Ovis aries: one gene and its partner. The protein of the gene in region 2 interacts with the protein of the main gene of each other region in a biochemical or structural test. Links are inferred from orthologs where the notes say so. Each region holds a gene or a part of one and is shown on either strand. Other genes may lie near its edges.

The links.
Region 1: the proteins of RP2 (region 2) and ARL3 form a complex in vitro, tested with the Homo sapiens proteins (2 studies listed by BioGRID). The link is inferred for Ovis aries from reciprocal best matches to the Homo sapiens genes RP2 and ARL3.

What each region holds. Positions count from the first base shown.
Region 1 is NC_056075.1:23,049,598-23,053,424, forward strand, and holds part of ARL3 (ADP-ribosylation factor-like protein 3), read right to left. Parts: intron 556-3,827; coding exon 439-555; intron 1-438. UniProt on the Homo sapiens protein: Small GTP-binding protein which cycles between an inactive GDP-bound and an active GTP-bound form, and the rate of cycling is regulated by guanine nucleotide exchange factors (GEF) and GTPase-activating proteins (GAP).
Region 2 is NC_056080.1:57,905,258-57,909,084, forward strand, and holds part of RP2 (protein XRP2), read right to left. Parts: intron 3,291-3,827; coding exon 3,205-3,290; intron 1,747-3,204; coding exon 1,663-1,746; 3' UTR 1-1,662. UniProt on the Homo sapiens protein: Acts as a GTPase-activating protein (GAP) involved in trafficking between the Golgi and the ciliary membrane.

The DNA of each region.
Region 1 (3,827 bases), on a different chromosome or scaffold from region 2:
TGAAACTAACTGGAAACAGTTCTAAGCACTTTCTCTTCCAGGAAGGACATCTTCAGGTCTTTCAACCATTTCTCATACATCCTGGTTTCTCGGACCTTCACTGTCTTGATTGCTCTCTTTGGGATATACCTGACTTACTGATTTTCTTGGAGTGACAGAGTCAGTGGCTCACTCCTCTGACTTTTCTGTGTTCCAATCACTATGGTAATTAGTAAATACTTTTATTTGCCAGCGTGGGTGTGGGCACTACACTGTTACCGAGCGACAACAAAATATCTTACACAAAGCTCCACAATCTGTCTGCTAGCCCTAAATTCATTGTGGCAGACAGCAATGTTGTGGCGATGGAATTATTGACAGGATAGATCATCACAGGGTAAATGTTAGTAGGACAGGGCAGAAGAGATTATGAACTGATGAATCTGAAGGAGTACTTACAAGAATATCAGTGTTTTCAAAATAATTCCTCCAGTATGGTCTGATTTTCCTCTGTCCGCCAATGTCCCAGACATTCAGTTTAAAACCTTGTGATTGTACACTTTTGATGTTAAAACCCTGAAACAAAAACACCAAGTTTTTTCAAAATGGAGGGGGTATATGTATACCTATGGTTGCTTCATGTTGCGGTTTGACAGAAAACAACAAAATTCTGTAAAGCAATTATCCTTCAATTAAAAAAAAACACACACCAAGTTTTACTAGACTTTGAGATCACATTTCTGACAAAGGTACATTTACCAGCTATGTTATTTATTAATTCTGAGATACTCTGCAGGATAAGAAACAGATGATATTGAAAACAGTTTGCTCTGATAGGGAAGAAAAATGTATTTACACATGTTCCCATCACTCGGGGCAGAGTCGGTGCTCATGACATCATGCTGAGTGCACACACACGTGCCACTACTGAGAATGAGAATTACTCAGATAATCAACACAAACCACCTTCAATCCCCATCAGTCCTCAAGACGGTAACATTTAACAGGATATTACATGTAACTAACAAACAAAGACGAATCTGCAGGCTCAACAGAACAGAACAAGTGCGAAATTTAAAAAGAGTCAAGAGCTACACCCTGGAAGACTGGATTCTTCAAGAACAACCCAAAATGAAAGAAAATTCTCTCATATGAACTGATCAGGAAAAGGAAAGAGCTGAACTCAGGACACAGAGGGGGAGGCTGGTTTGTAACTGGAGTAGTAGCCCTCGTGCGGGTGGTGATGAGCATATGAAACTGTTCTTTAGTAGGTTATCTCTGATGAACTTGAAAGGATTCATTTTCAGGACAGTGATGCCAGGTGGAACTTTGGGGCCAGTGAACCAATCAGGGGCAGACAGAATGGTGAGCTGGGAGTTTGGGTGCAGAGAAACAAACTAACAAGAACTTTGGGGTTTGAAGAGAAGGCATTTTATAAGCAAGAATAAAAAAAGAAAAAAAATCTTCTGGCAAGAACGACATCGTGAAATCAGGATTTGAAAAACCCGATCAACAGCTTGCTCCCATGGAAGTGACATTTCATCCAAAAGAGCTGGAGTTAGGTGGGTCTGGAGATGCCTCCACAAACATTTGCCTCTCCTGGCAACTTGCCACCACAGAAGGACAAGGCACAGGCAAGGGTAGGGGAACACAGCCACCCAATTTCCACCAAGGATAGTCAGTCACTGGAGGACAACTGGGGATGATGTTGACTACAGCTCCTCGAAAATGCCAATGACTGGGTAAATTAGAAGTGTTAGAACTCTTAAGGGAAGTGGCTTATGCTTATTGTAAGAGGCAGCTTCATTCTGACTCACTGACAAAACCACTTTTATGCATTTAAAAATCCTACACTTAACTACGTTATTAAATGTCAGACCCAGTAACAATGACTCCTTTCTGGAATGAGGGAATAAATAAGAGTAGATCCTGGAATTTGACCATATGTTAACTGCCTTAAAAGTCTGTAAGTCACCAAACCTAACAAATCTACTAGAAATTATTCTAAAGAAATAATAATGAACGGGTGCAAACATTTAGAGACATGTACTGTCTTAGTACTGACACACAGAACAACGTAGAAAGATGTTCAAGACGTTATTATGAAGTGAAACAGATGATACAAAATAGTATACTCTGTATGAGCCATTTTTCACTTTTTATTTTCAACATACCCACCATAAATGGGGAAAGAAAAAGCCTGAAAGGATACAATTTCAAATGTTAACAGTGGTTATGTCTGACTGGGCATTATAGGTGATATCTAGTTTCTCGATTTTACATATTTACATATTTTAAATTTACTACCATGAGCATCTATTATTTTTTCTAATATGAAAAAAAAACACATCATAGGTATGTTTTAAGACTAAATACAAAAATACATTTGTTCTAAATACAAAACCTTGATGTAATATAGTAATACATCAAACAGAGCCTGAAAATTAGAACTGGAACTTGGGGTCCATAACTAGGACTTCATGTTCCTGCTCTCAGTGTTGACCTCCTCATTTCAGTGGTGCTCTTGAGAGAGACAGCCTATCTCTAATACTTAAAAAAAACCAACAACAACTTAGTTCTTCTTTTTCTGGCAGAAATCCTGACACCCTAATAGGTGTTTTCAGCTTGTCTAGGCTAGACTACTGTAATTTGCTCCTCCTCAGGCTATACATTAAATTTGTTCAGAAGCTGTAAAATTGCTCATTTGGTAGCAGTTGAAATGACTTTTCTGTAAAGAGCTGCGAATCAGTAAGACTCGCTGGCCATCAAGTATACACACCAGCATGGCCATTCAAACAGGACATTGAGCTCATCGCAGGACAGCAACAGGAACAGCAACAGAGTTGCTAAACAACTCTGGTTTTGCTAAAACCTCTTGTTCAAACGCTGCAAAGTAAGACCAACAGGGATGTCGCTAGTTAGGAAGCCCAAAGGCCTGGCCAAAGGTCAAGTTTTCTCAGGATTCCTTGTAGGAGAGGAGCCCTAAAGAAACCTACGAGGATTCTTCCAGGCAGGACTCATCTGCAACATCTATGCTGGGAGTACCACCAGCCTTGGCTTTTGCTTGCTTAGCCTTAGGAAAGAGGAGGGTTGATGAGACTGGATTTTAAAATATGGGTAGGGTCTCCCCTGGTGGTCCACTGGCTAAGACTCTGTGCTCTCAATGCAGAGGGCCCGGGTTCATTCCCTGATCAGGGAAGTAGATCCCACATATTGCAATTAAGAACCAGAGCAGCTGAATAAATAATAAAAATAAAATAAGAGGTAAGCTTAAAAAAATAAAAGTAATTGGGTTTTTTCTTTTAAAAATTGACATACGTTTGTATTTATGAAGTCTGAAAAATATATACTAAAAGTGGTTTTTCTCAGGGTACTCTGTTTTTTTTTTCTTTATGTGCTCTCTGTATTTTCCATATGTACTGATTTCGAAATCAGAGAAGATAAGGCTATTTCTAAAAAGGAATCACTTAGATCTGAGGGAACTGATGTGTCTTGATATGTATAGACATATACATTTAAATGATTTCTTTTTAAAAAATCGTTGTAAAATATACATAACATGAAATTTACCATTTTAACCATTTTTAAGTTTGGTTTACTGTTGTGTAACCATCACTGCCATCCATCCATCATCTTGCAACTCTGACTCTCTATGCCCATTAGACAATAACTCCCCATCCCTCCGCATCTCCAGCCCACTAATCACCACTGTTCTCTTTCCTGTCTCTATGAATTTGACTACTTTAACTATCTCATATAAATAGAATCTCTTGATATGTTTTTGAAATATGAGATTATTTTGAAATTGCATAGACTTTTCTCAGCAACAAAACTTACAAATGGACACA
Region 2 (3,827 bases):
AAGCTCATTTGTAAATTATGATCAAAATTATATTAAATCCATCACTGATTTTTATTTGCATCTTATAAAATCATTTTGATTTTAGTGAGAGGTTATGTAATATAGAATGCTCTTGTAAAAAGACTGAAATGATATGATGCTAATACAAGGTGAGGCACAGGGTAGGTGGTCAACATTACTTATTAGTTTAAAGTGAAAAGTCTTTTAATGTATTATTTCTGAACATTGGACATACAATACAGTAGTTGTAAATGAATCTGAAAATATCCACAAAGAGTTCAAACATGAAAATAAATTGTTGGTTACAATTTTAAGAGGAATTTTTACAAGTGATTTTTTTCAGTCTTAGTTTTATCAAAATAGAATTAAATTTAAAAATAGACCTATGAAAGCTAACTTCCAATTAGCTACTCTGTATGGAGAAGGAAATGGCAACCCACTCCAGCATTCTTGCTTGGGAAATGCCATGGATGGAGGAACCTGGCAGGCTATCGTCTATGGGGTTGCAAGGGTCAGACACAACTGAGCAACTAAGCACACAGCACATGATGTAGATGGCAGGTTCAGTCCCTTCTCACAAGATCAACCTATCAAAATCTTCTGATTACGTTACAACAACCCTCTCAAATCAGTTTTCCCTGGGCACTGAATCGATGCACCTAAGGACTGGTCCAAGAATGTGGATTTTTAAATAAGTAGCTCCCTCCTGCCCCCTGGTAAATTATTACGTCCAGGTTGATTTGGAAAATAATGCTTTAAAGCAACCAAAATAATTTTTATCAGACTTGAACATTGATTGATAGAAATTTATCTAGCATCTTAACAATCTGCATAATTCATCAAGATGCTTAAGTATTTCTTACGTAAAAATGCTGCAAGGTTTTGTTTTAATTCTAATAGCTCATAAGAGTTGATAAAACAGTAATCACCTTTGTGAACTGCTGGTGATTGGGCTTCTATAGTTTCATTATTCCATATACCTTTTCCTACCAGGAAGCAGAAAAGTCATCTAACAGTTTTATTAAAAAACTAAACAATGTGGAATATATTCAAATAAGCATACAACTGTTTAGTCTTTAAACAGTTATACCAACATGTTACTTGCAAAACTGGTTATCAAATACCTATTAATTAAAAAATTCAATTTACAAAGTATTATGTCAACTCTGTATACAAAATCTCATTTTCCATATTATGGAACTAGGAAGCAAATATTTAACTGGATATGTATACATGAAAAATGTACACAGGTTCATTTTAACTGATCAGCTATTAAGAAATCCTTCTAAATTAAAAAAGAAAATGGAAGATATTCTCAAACAAGTATTATAGAGTACTGAGTAAAGTGTAAATTAGAGATTTGAAAGAACGTTTAATTAGGATTAAAAAAATGAACTGCTAATCACTTCTGTTTTCTAATAACAGTATCATATGCAGAGAAAACCTACAATCTCACTGAACTGGGTTAAGTGGGTTTTAAGCTGATTAAAACTATTTAATTTAAAATGAACTCTTTCCAAATCTCATGTAAATGATGCAGCATTCAACAATTTATTTTAAAAATGACTTTAACAATTTTAGCATCAGTTTAAAAAAAAAAGCCATTGCTAACACACAAATTGAAAAGGGCTTAATACGAAGTCCTTGGTTCTGCATTGCACTTCATATTCCCATCTGTATATCAGCAAAATTGTAGAAGCTGTCTACATCTCCAGGTGCCGTCTCCTTGCTTTCTGATACAAATATCTACGTTAAATGTAAGAGGAAAAAAATAATGTATTAGTAATCCCCAAATTCCAAAGCCCACATCCTCCACAAAACAGTCAAAAGCTTGCTATTTAAAAGAAATTCTGGATTTTCTATAGAATTCATGCAGTATAGTTTCAATTAGCTATGATGTAAACGGAGCTCTTTTTAAAGCATTTATGATATAATTAAAGTCTTTGCTTTATAATGCTTTGGTTGTATTTTACTACTCTTGGAATTTCAGTTTTTAAAATATGTAAACCAATATTATGAAAGCTACTGAATAAAGAGATTTATGTAAAGAACTCTTAATTTCTTTTATTTTCTAATAAAAATCTCAATAGACCAAGAAGCAAAACTTGATATTTTTTTTCAAAGCTGCTAAAGATATTTTACTAATTTTAAATTAACTATTTTCCAAACATCAACAAAGCAGTACTCAATAGAACCCTTCAAAAACAGCTTTTATAAATGTCTGCCAGAAATCAGAGGAGACCTGAGTTCTATTTATCTTGATCATAACTAGCTGAATGACGCTGACAATTTAATCAACCTCTCTGGGCTCCATTTCCACATCTGTAAAATGAGAAAGTTGGATTAGATAATCTATAACTCATTCAGATCTAAAAGCTCCAAATCATATAAACATTTTCTCTCTGTTTCCTTTTCTATTCAATCTGATTATATTTGCCCTCTCCCTTAGTACTTGTTGCAATGATCAAATGAGACAAAAGACAAAGTACTTTAAATTGTGCAAATTCAAAGGCCCATAAGCTAAATCAGAGTACAAAACCAAACGTTTCCTCTCAGATATTTATTTAAAAAGTTACGTATACTCATTTAATCATCTTATATGTTTGTTTCTAAGCTATATTAAGTTAAAAATTGAAATTCTTAGACTCATCAACCACATCTAGAAAATACCTACATGTAATGATTTCTAGATATAGCTCAAGTTTCGATGAAGCATTACTGAAGCAAATAAAAGTGAACACTGAGCAATAGGCTTGTCCATTTAAAGTATACAATCTTAGAAATGTAACATTTTCAGCATATCACTATTTTTATTTATTTGCCACACTGTGTGGCTTGTGAGGTCTTAGTTCCCTGACCAGGAATGAAACCTATGCTGCCTACACTGGAAGCACAGATTTTTAACCATTGCACTGCCAGAGAAGTCCCAACATATCACTATTTTTAAAAAAGGAAGAACTTGAAGAGACATTTGGTGAGACATTTGACTTTAGAAACATGTGTGATTGAGATTTTTAACATGTAGACACTTTGTAAATTTTTAAGCTATTAAAATTTCAGTTTGGCAAGGAAAAACCAAAGCTTAGTTCTCAATTGTTTACCAAAGTTTTAAAAATCATGATGTGCTAAAAGTACTATTTAATTGTAATGAAAAGAGAAGGAAATGAAAGGTTTGACTGAAATATAGTCAACAGTATCTTGTACCTTGGTCCCCCTGAATGTCTCGTTGACAATAAGTTGACATCCTTCTACAGCGCCATCTCCATTGAACTCCAAGGCAATAACAGGACCTATAGGCAAAAAGGAAGTGTTGTCTTATCATGAACACAAATCTATTCTCAAATTAATCTTCTTATTCTTCCTTGAAAAATCTACAGCCTTTTCTTTGGGGGTAAGAGAAAAGAAAGAAGAGAGTAGACAGATAGGACACATCACTTCAGCTACTTCTTACTCTAATCATAAAACAAATTAACATAGAGTTTTATCACATGACAAATAGCGTCAGTGCCATTACAGGTCTAGTGTCACATTTTTAAGTGTTGTAAATAGTCTGGCTTTTCTGGCTTTCATTCTTCTATGAAAACTATAAAAAGTCCACCAATTTAGCAATATAAAAAATAGCTGATAAAATGACAAATAAGATCAAAAGCTATTCAAGTCATTTTGCCAGGCAGCCAGTCTTTCTTCCAACTCTCCCACTTACAGCCAAGTTTTGGGCCACCAGTAATGAAGCTAAGCCAAGTAGGAATTGAGGCCAGGTACCAAAAGTCATGATCATCTGAAAGTGTTTTCTTGAATGTACCATAAAACTATATTTTAGAACCAAA